2 linked regions of the Schizosaccharomyces pombe genome follow. The protein of the gene in region 1 purifies or fractionates together with the protein of each later gene. This does not show direct contact. Each region holds a gene or a part of one and is shown on either strand. Other genes may lie near its edges.

The links. The genes of interacting proteins can lie anywhere in the genome.
Region 2: the proteins of sib3 (region 1) and sib2 purify together in Schizosaccharomyces pombe (affinity purification with western blotting, with the first as the bait; one study listed by BioGRID). This does not show direct contact.

The regions. Positions count from the first base shown.
Region 1 is NC_003423.3:2,178,083-2,183,671, forward strand, and holds sib3 (siderophore-iron biosynthesis protein), read right to left. Parts: upstream 2,615-5,589; 5' UTR 2,411-2,614; coding exon 1,406-2,410; 3' UTR 1,259-1,405; downstream 1-1,258. Other genes in the region: RRM-containing cyclophilin Rct1, read left to right, coding at 1-1,250; rps2402 (40S ribosomal protein eS24), read left to right, coding at 2,849-2,917, 2,999-3,334; centaurin Cnt5, read right to left, coding at 3,663-4,150, 4,195-5,589.
Region 2 is NC_003424.3:868,130-873,273, reverse strand, and holds sib2 (ornithine N5 monooxygenase), read right to left. Parts: upstream 2,482-5,144; 5' UTR 2,394-2,481; intron 2,322-2,393; 5' UTR 2,250-2,321; coding exon 954-2,249; 3' UTR 501-953; downstream 1-500. Other genes in the region: Ino80 complex subunit Ies4, read right to left, coding at 1-107; ferrichrome synthetase Sib1, read left to right, coding at 3,747-5,144.

The DNA of each region.
Region 1 (5,589 bases):
TCGTCAAGGAAGCGCCCAAAACTTGTGAGAATTTTCTTAAATTATGCAAATTAAAATACTATAATTTTTGTCCATTTTATAACATTCAGCACAATTATACCTGTCAAACAGGTGATCCTCTTGGACCAACTGGAGATGGTGGTCGATGTGTGTGGAATGTACTGAATAAAGGAACACGCTTTTTCAAAGCGGAATTTAATCCTTCTTTGGTACATAATAAAATGGGCTTGGTTAGTATGAGCACAGCAACTATATCTTCTAGAGATGACAAATTACTTGTTTGTGGTAGTCAGTTTATAATAACTTTGTCAGACAATTTAGAAGGACTTGATGAAAGATACCCAATTTATGGACAGGTTGCTGAAGGCTTTGACACGCTACTGAAAATCAATGACGCTATATGCGATGAAGAGGGTCAGCCTTATCGTGATATTCGTATAAAACACACAATTATACTAGATGACCCGTTTGAGGATCCACCCGATCTAGTGGAGCCTTTGCGGTCACCGTCTCCAACGCCTGAACAATTAGCTACGGTACGTATAGGGGAAAACGAACAAATTGAGTCAGAAACATCGGAAGATAAATTGCAAAGAGAGAAGGAAATGGAGGCAGAAGCAGAGGCTGTTACACTAGAAATGATTGGTGATTTACCCTTTGCTCATGTTGCTCCTCCCGAAAACGTTTTGTTCGTTTGCAAATTAAATCCCGTTACCCAAGATGAAGATTTAGAGTTAATATTCTCGCGATTTGGAAAAATTATCTCCTGCCAAGTTATTCGAGATAAAGAAACAGGCGATAGTCTTCAATATGCCTTTATCGAATTTGATAACAAAGAAAGTGTTGAAAAAGCTTATTTTAAAATGCAAAATGTTTTAATTGATGATTCTCGAATTCACGTAGATTTTTCCCAAAGCGTGGCTCGTTACAGACAATATTACAACTCCAATAGGGACCGAAAACGTTCTTCGTCTCGTAGTGATGATCGTGAGTACCACCGTAGGTCTGATGGTCGTTATGACAGATCTAATTACCGAGACGACTATAGGCATCGACGGAAAGAGCGTGATCATCGTGACGATCAAAGTTCATTTAGAAATGAAAGATTTTCTAACTACTACGGTGATGATCGTTCATACCATAAACGGAGAAATACTGGAAATAAAAATTGTGATGATCACTTACGAGATAAATCTCCTGAACGAAGGTATAGATATGATAGACGTTATAGAGATGATAGATATCGATAGATCTTTATTATATTCGTACCTTTCTTGTGAATATTATTTATGACTGATGAAATTACTAAAACATAGTTGAATAATTGATTAAGACTTCAAATGTATGGAATGAAATCTACATTGCTTATACTTGTAAAAGCAAAAAATCAAAAAAAATCGTCGTACTAAATTCGAGGGCCTAAGCATGAAAAGAACATGTTACGAGTAATCTCCATAAATGCGGCACGTTTATGAGGGAAATTAAATTCCAAACGTTTGGAGTAATTTTCTTCGATCAAATAGTTAATAAATTTTGAATTGTCAATTCTTGGTTCAAGAAGTACACGCTGAGTACGAGGATCATCCAAAAATAACATATGCGTAATACTGGATAACCACACGGGGACACGGTGAGGCCCGCGAAATTTGTCATTACCTACAAGGGCATGGAAACCACGATCATGTGTATGCCAAGGCTGAGCAAATGGAGCAATTCTATCCTCAGGAACCCAATAAACTTCAAAATAAGCAAAAGGCACATCATTGAAACAGCCAATGACACCAAAAGAATGAGGATCGTTTTGAAGTGTTGTTAGGTATTCATGATGTTGATCCCATGAACCAGACTCGTTCCAAAAGTATTCAACTCTCGGTTTGTTCTGCCACTCATGGAAATACTGCAGATGTTGCTCAATGTCAAGAGATACGAAGGAAAGTGTCTCATTCAAGCTAGGTATAAATCGCTCATACAGAGTGGAACCAGGTTTTGGACATTTGGGACGACGAATGACTTGGTTCGGTAAGTAAGATAAAGGCCAATCACTGCATCTTGTGTACATCCAAGGAGACGGGATTTGCCAAAAAGACATACGGTCAATCGAGACATTACCTTCTAACTCATTGTATTCAACAGGAAGGCTCAAAGTTCCTTTTTGACTTTCAATGTTTGCCCACTGTAGAACGACTTCTGTTCTCAAAGTAGGGAATACGTAGAAAATAGAAAGAAACGCCAACTGCAAAATTTCATTAACGTCCATGTCTTGGAATCCATTTAAATCAATATCCCATGTTTTGGACTCTTCACGATACGTTAAAAGCAATCTCTTATTGTCATGTTCTAAAGTTATCAAACTCTCTTGGACAGCTGAAAGCTTGAAAGGCTCGGTCTTAGACCAAACAGTAAAGGACATCCCGAATGAAATTTCTCGAATTTTACTTAGAGTTAAGATATATTGTTATAGATATTGCCGTCAACTATCTAATTACAGGTGAAATCTTAAACAAAAGATAGAAGCAGCGACGCTAATTTGTACAATTTGGAATCCTCGAGCAATATTAAAACAAATAGGAATTAGTTTTAATTGTTTACATACGGTGAGCAATGTACGTTATTTACAAGATGGCTGGTGCACAGTAGCACATAAACAGTGATGTCAAGAGCCTAGTGCTAAGAATCTGTAAACGTGATAACGATTTAGTAATAAAAAACTTTAAACCACATTTAGGTATTGTTTAAGAAATTCATTAAATTACAAAAAGTCCAAAAAGCAGTCACAAACAACATCAAACAAATGGCTATCCCTTGTGAGAGCCTTTCCTTACCACCATCAGTCACCAAAATTTCTAAAATGAGTGAGGCCGTGACAATTAGAACTCGCAAGTTTATGACTAACCGCTTGCTTCAAAGAAAGCAGATGGTATGTTTATTTGATGAAGCTTCCCGCTATTTGACCTTTTGGTCTATTTTTAATTCAACATCAGCTAACGGAAATTTATAGGTCGTCGACATTCTTCACCCTGGCAAGGCTAACCTTTCCAAGAATGAAATTCGTGAGAAGTTGGCTCAAATGTACAAGACTGATTCCGAATGCGTTCAAGCCTTTGGTCTTCGCACTCATTTTGGTGGTGGCAGATCTACCGGCTTCGCTTTGATCTATGACTCTACTGAGTCCATGAAGAAGTTTGAGCCTCACTACCGTCTTGTTCGTGTTGGTCAAGCTGAGCCTATCCAAAAGGTTGCTCGTCAGCAACGCAAGCAACGTAAGAACAGAGGCAAGAAGGTCTTTGGTACAGGCAAGCGTCTTGCCAAGAGAAAATCTAAGCAACAAGACTAGAGTAGATACTTACTTTAGGTTCCTTTCTCGCCAAAAACTCAATACATTCTGTCCCTCGCGTAAAACTATTATTGTAAATTTTGTTGTTTCCGTACCTTGTAACTGAGATTTTTTATTATTATGCATTGAGTATATGTACAATTCACATAACGCTACAAATACGTTCGAAATATCTTAAAATTTATTCTGTGTGCTTTTCATGCTTATATATATACCTATGTAACATCTATGCAAACATACCAGCATATTCAACAAATTCACTCAGCTTTCCAATATACACACGAATTAAAAAACCATTATTTCCTCTTTCAAATTTACAAGTTGTCCTTCAAGGAGTTGCTCTATTCATCACAAACGCTTGCGCCCGCGCTGAAAGCGTCTCCATAGTAACTTCGTCAACATTCAAACTGGCACCGTTCAACGTCAATAGTTCAGCAATTAAATAGTTGTTCTTCAATAAAGCCTTTACAACAGCCCTTTGATAATTAACGTCTGCTCCCAGTGCTAAACATAGGACAGCTTCTTTCAGATTACTATGCTCAATAGACTCCAAAAGGCCTGTGTTAGGATCGTGTGAAAATGACGATTTAATAAATCGTTTATACAAATACTTGTCCTTTACAAATTGAACCCGACGCTCCTGATTTTCAAAGTTCTTGATTTTCCAGTCCGTTATTCCACCTTCATAGATTTCATTGACAAAACTGTTTCCAGTTGCATACAACAAATCCACGGTCTCGGGATTAAATTTGTCAAGAGTCAAAGATCGAATCTTTGTAATATGAGTACCCAAAGATCTATGTATACCAGAACAATCTGTTCTTGTTAGTAAAGTTTAGAGGCTGCATACTAGCACTTACCTATGCATAAAACTACGGGGAAATTAATAGCACACCATTCAACCCTCGCAGTAGTGTTACAATCCGCACATGATTGGTCGCTACTGTGCATCTCTTTTAACGTTTTTACAAGTGAAGGTGATTTTGTTTGTTTTTTCTCTTTTGAATCGGAATTATGACGACTCGGTGATGTTACAGAAGCAACACGTTGAAGAGCTTTACCAATTGTCGAGGTGGGACCGTGTTTCACCGAAGTTTCCTCGGAATTCATAGACGTACCCTTCCCCTTTTGAACAATGCTTTCACTAATAGAGTATTGAATAGCCTCAATCCAAGAATGCATTTCGGCTTTTGAAGTAGCTTGATAAGTTCTTTTAGTTTGGGGGGTGATTACTTCAAAACAAAATTTCCTACTCACAGACTGGGCTGGACGAACGGTGGCCATTAAAAGGTCAATCGGTTCAGTGTGTAATTCCAGTGATTGCTTCCAATTAGCATATTCACATATTTTTCCGTGATCCAATACAACCCAGTATTTATGCCACCCGGATTTTCCAACAACCTGCAAGTCGCTAGTCGACTTCGAAAAAGCAAGTAATAACCCCTGCTTAGCAGACGTGTCCTGATCAACCTTTGCTTTGTATGCTTGGGCTGCTATTTCCGCATCTTTATCTTCTAGTTCACGACTACTAGTTTCTATGTATCTCCTTCTTTCTTCTCGTTCAGCCCTTAATAATTGAAATTCTTTGTTGGCCTCTGTAACAATGTCTTGCAATTGTATTATACTAGGACGCAAAGCATCGATATCGGTTAAAGAGGAGTGAATAAGATTGTAATCATTTGCAGCAAAAGATGTTAGGACGGATAAAACCTCTTGGCCTTTCCTGCCACCATTAATATCCTGCATATAAGAATAATAGTCAAACCGAGAAAGCTCAAAATCTCTTTTCTTAGCAGCAAATTTAGATTCCTTAGTTTTATCTGAAGATGTTTCTTTCTCGCTTTTAGAAAGGTAGCGTGACAATGAGGTATAATAATCACGACTTGTTTCCTCAAAATCTTTCTTTTTCGTAGATACATTTTTTATATCAGTATCATAAATTTTACGCAAAGGCTCAATAAGAAAGTTTCTTAGCAAACGAGCACGATCAATATTAAAGGAATCGAAAGATTGAGCAGCTGCAGCATAATAATGGTCTAAGAAGGGTTTAAATGCGGGCGGGTTAATGGTAGCAACACGTTCAAATGCTGACATGAGCTCTTTATAAGACATATATAGTAGACCATGAGAATGTGCTACGTGCTCGATACGTTTTATTAACTTTTTCAAAACCATGCGCATATCATGAGTAGTTCGCTCATAATTAAGAATGGTAGCACGAAACAGAGGACCATCTTCGGGTTCGGTTTGGTCAA
Region 2 (5,144 bases), on another chromosome or scaffold:
TGAGAAGATGGTGATGCAGTAAAGTTTTGCTTCTCTTTCAAGGAACTTAAAACTTCTCGAAACCTTTCAGTTGGCACTTTTAAATGTAATACTAAAGTTTCGCTCATTATATGTTTATAATTACCCAAATATGTAATTTGTAAGAGCACCAAGCAAATAACTTTCGAACTCTTTTAACTAAATCGAAAACACTGATTAAAGGATAAAAAACTTCTTAAACTTCCTTTTCTTTAAATTTATCTCTCTTCAAATTATTTAGCAATAAGATGGAAACCTTTCTTAAAGACCAAAATTGAAAGGTAACTTGGAATAAGAGAAGACAGGAAAAAAATTTGAATGCGAGGTGGAAAGTATCAACTAAACGTGTTCCACCGTTGGGATCTGCCGTCCCATAGTTCGCCAGCTTGGACTTGGTGCACCGTCATGTCTCCAGTGTATATACATAAAATTTCTTTAACGAACAACATGCTTTGCAGTGAAGATAATTTTTCTACGAATAAGCGCGCTTAAATATTTTAGTGAAATCAAAATTAATTTATTTAATAATGTTAAGCATACTCACTGCTTACGTTTTGTATGTCAATTTGGGTCTTTAAGTAAAAGTAAGCTCGAATTTAGCAAAATACATTATAGCTATATGGATATCTGTATCAAGTCGTCTTTAATCGACCGGAATGTCAAAATACCTTTTATTGTCACGTAAGAAATTGGGATAGCACGACTTACTATCGAAATAAGGCATGAAAGGGCGAATGAAGGGAAATATTCACAGTAGCTTTAAATTGACCAAGTCATCGAAATCTATACAAATATACAGTGTAGAGATTCGTAAACCGAATAAAAGGTTCAAAAGAAAATGCAAAAGTCGAAGATTTCTCTATGTTCTTGTAAAAAGAATAAAAGATAATGAAAGACGGCGAAGCATCAAATGAGGTGAATAGTTAAGCTGAGAATCAATTAAGATAAGAAGCAGGGACCCGAGCAGTTGGTTTACTCGGACCAAACAGTTCCTTGGCTAAACCACCAGCTCGGATAGCAGCCCAGCTAAGAAGGGTTTCGCCGATTCCGTGTTGATTGCTGGTAATGCCGGCAACATAGACTTTTCCCTGTTTACTTGGGGCGTTTAGTACACAGTACTCCTCAGAAATTTGAGCGCCCTGCGAGTTGGGAAAAAGGGAGGACATTAAGACATCGAATGATTCATGATCATAACCAGTAGCTACATACAGGACATCAATTTTACGAGTTTCAGGCTTTTTGCTTTTGTCCATTTGACTAGTCAATTGAACAACTAAATGATCGCCTTCGTTCTTAATCGACTGAATGTCTGTATCACCCATTATTTGATGGAATTCTTGACCATACCTCAGTTTTTGCAAGTAGCACTCCTTAAACATCTCCTCCAATAGTGACTCTTTGACAACACTGTAATTGGTAGTACGGCCAACGCTTAGTCCTTTCAATCTAGCTTCAGTGGGAAGGTTGTACCACCAATGGGAGTTATGGCTGTCAAAGTAAAGCGAATTCACAAAAGGGCTTGAGTCACTGGGAACTGGGGCCAAATTGCGAAAGCACATTGCCAAAGGGGTCTTGGGGTCGAGAGAGTAATGACAGTGTTTCCATATTTCAGCAGCAGATTGACCGCATCCCACGACGAGAATGCCGTGTTTGGAATTTCGAAGCAACTTTTGACTATGATCTGACATGAACTTACTGGAGTGGACGATAAGTGGACTGTCGACTGATTTATACAATGGTGGTATATACGGCTGACAACCCGTAGTAATAATGATGTTTTTCGCTTGCCATTGAGTATCACCGTGACCCACAATGTACAGATCAGTTGCGGCATCGTAATGGAGTTTATTAATGTTAGCGTTGTACTCGACAAACTTGGAGAAATGGCTGGCTGCCCAGCATAAGTAGTCATGGTATTCGTAACGAGATGGCTCTAGGGTGGACATGTTAAGGAAACCAGATAATCGTTCCTGGCCATGCGAATGTAGATAGTTTAAAAAGGTGAAGTAAGAAGTAGGATCCCTGGGCGTTGCCAAATCCTTTACAAATGAGATTTGCATGTTTGAACCAGGAATCAGCATACCCTCATGCCAGGAAAACGTGGGCAACTTTTCAAACACGCGGATTTTTTTGTTCTTTAAGGGCTCCTCCGAATGGTCATGCAAAGCAATAAGGAAAGAAAGACTAGCGGGACCAAATCCAATAATTGCTAAATCTAGAGGTTCAGTCATTTTCTTATTTCCAAAGGTTTTTTTTTAAGAAAGAGGGACGAAATGAATTAATTAGATAATTAGGGATTTTCCCTAAGCAAGCAATAATATTAGAAAACTTGGTTCCATTATCCGAAAAAACATATTTTTCCTTTTCATACTTACCAAGTTTCACGATATTCTAGAATGCGCGGCTTTTTGAAATTAATTAGGCTAGCACTACTACAAATGTTTGCAAGAAGATTGTTGGTCGATTTTAAAATATTGTTATCCAACCCACAATACGTGCGAAAATGAGCCTATATAATGGAAGTATATGAGCACATGTATTTTAAGGAGTCCATTCCCTTTCGATAACATATGTCGCGCTTTCTCCGTCATAGCGCTAAGCCCTTACGTAACTGCAGTTAAGGTGGAAATTTTGTGAAATCCGAGAAAATCTCGAAGCATAAACAACCGTTAAAAAAAAGAGGATGGTGAAATGAAAATTCTGTTTTTCTTGAGCGAAATTCTTTTTTTATGGGAAATTAAAACAAAGCATCGCCAGGTATATGTTTTCTCCTCGCGTACATACGAATAAACAAAAAATAAGAAGTGCCTAAAATTAAGCATCGTTTTGTATTCTTAGGTATAAACAGAAGGTGAAAAGTGTACTGCCAAATTTAGTATTACGGAAAACCGAGTCTTTGTTATGAAATTATTTGAAAATCGTTAAAATTACCGCATACCAAGGTCTATATTTCTCTGTCATCTTCTTTCCCTCCCCTTTTCATCCACTTTCTCTATGCTGCGGTCGCATGCTCTGTATCTCGCAAGTCCGTAGTTTTTTGAACTATGCGGAAGCAAATCTGGAGTAAAGCGAAAAGGAAGTGGTAAGTGTGTTACAACACATTTTTTTTAATAGAATGGCATCGATTAAATGAGACATCAGAAAAAATGGAAAACTCTATTCATTCGTTTTCCACTACAAAAAGTCCCCTTTACTTGGACTCAGGTTTACCGACCGGCACCCCGCGTTGATCTTCTAGACTCTCTTCATCCGATCTCTATCGATCTGATAAATATAAGGTGGTAAAGTGGGCAATATTGTAAGCGAAAATCTAGGTCACATGCACTTCATTTGATATCTCTCCATTTTAAATTTCGGAAAAGATTAGTAATGAGGCTTTTCATGATCTTTCGAAAGTATTGAAAAATTCACTTAAAAGAGCAAACTCCGATGAAAATAGTCACCCGAAAAACTTCCAGTTTGTTGATTGCCTTGTTTAGACAGGCCTTTTTGATTGCACATTATAACGAACTTTAAGGCTGCGCCAAATCACGTAACTAAACTTCGTTAAGCAAGGGTGGTGTAATATTACAAGCATCCATATTTTAGCAGGATATTCCTCTACTTGGTTCTTACTGCTACTGTGTTTTAATGAAGGATTAATACATCCTTTAGCTATTGATACATTTGTGAAACAACACCTTCGTTATAAAATATTTCCGTGTCACTAAATTTTTTGATTGAGACTTATGAAGAATTCAAATGAAGAAGATGCTTTCTCAACTCAAATTTCTCAATTAGGTCCTATGCGGCCGTCAAGTGATGCCCCCTATCACGTTTTATCACTTCCCTTTTCACATCCTTACTCTGCATTTTTGGACGCTTGGAGTTGGCTGTTTTGTGGTATCACTGGTGGAGAAGTTTCATTCTTTTTTTTTCCTGTTTCAGACGATGTGATTCCTAATACTAATCCTAAAAATTGCCAATGCTACTTATATCATTCTACAAACTCCCAACTAGAACCCTTAGAAGTTTTTCACCTACATAAACTACATTCTGCCGTTTTCACTTCGCGTCGAGATCCATCCTTTGCTGACGATTTGTTTGAATCATCTAAACCATGTTTGAATCAACTTTTATCTTATTTTTCAGACATAACCGCTTTTCGATCTATGGATGTGGTTGCCGACATAGCCTTTGTCTGTTCTCCCAATTTCCTTACTTTAAAATGGAATTCGTCTCTGTTTGATGATGATTTAGCAAGATTACTTTTTTTCATGATTAACTCAAAAATCACTAATTACGACCTCCCCTTCTCCATCCTTAATTCTCCTTGTTCCGATTTATGCTTAAACTCTTCATCTCTTGCTAATTATTTACACGGGTGTTTTTATCATAATACTCTTTCTCACCCTTATCAAGATGCTTTGAAGTTTATATATGAAATTGGCGATGATCTGGAGGATACCTTTAGATCATTTTCTTTTCTCGAGCTTCACTCTTTGGCAATAAAACTTTCCAAACTCGTTACATGTAAGAATGAGGTAGTTCCTATTATGGTATCTCATTCACCTGCTCTTTTCGTTGGTATTCTTGCAATCCTCTACAGTGGTAATGCTTATTGTCCCATTGATGTAGAAACTCGTACTGAAAGGGTCCACTTTATCAGTAAAGATGTTGATGCGTCTTTTGCTATTGTCTCTGAAGAGTTTGTTAATCGATTTCCTAATAACACAATTATATTAAAGGTTCCTGAGTATAATGAGTCAATGGAGATCAAAGTCGATGATGAGATACCCCCCTTTCCCTTTCCTGAAAGCCTTGATTCCGTTGCTTATGTTCTGTACACATCTGGTTCAACTGGAAATCCCAAGGGTGTTGCAATCTCTCATCGAGCTGCTACCAATTCTATCAAATCCCACGGGTATTTATATCCAATGTTTGGGCTTGAACGTGGTGATGCTTGGTTGCAGTTTGCCAACGTGACCTTTGATGTATCGGTTTTTGAAATTTTTGGAAATTGGAATAACGGTCTGACGTTGGTGACTTCGAAAAGGCAGAACTTGATCGGAAATTTGGAGTATTTAATATATGATTATAAAATCGCTGCTTTGGAACTAACACCCACTGTTGCTAATGTTATCTCG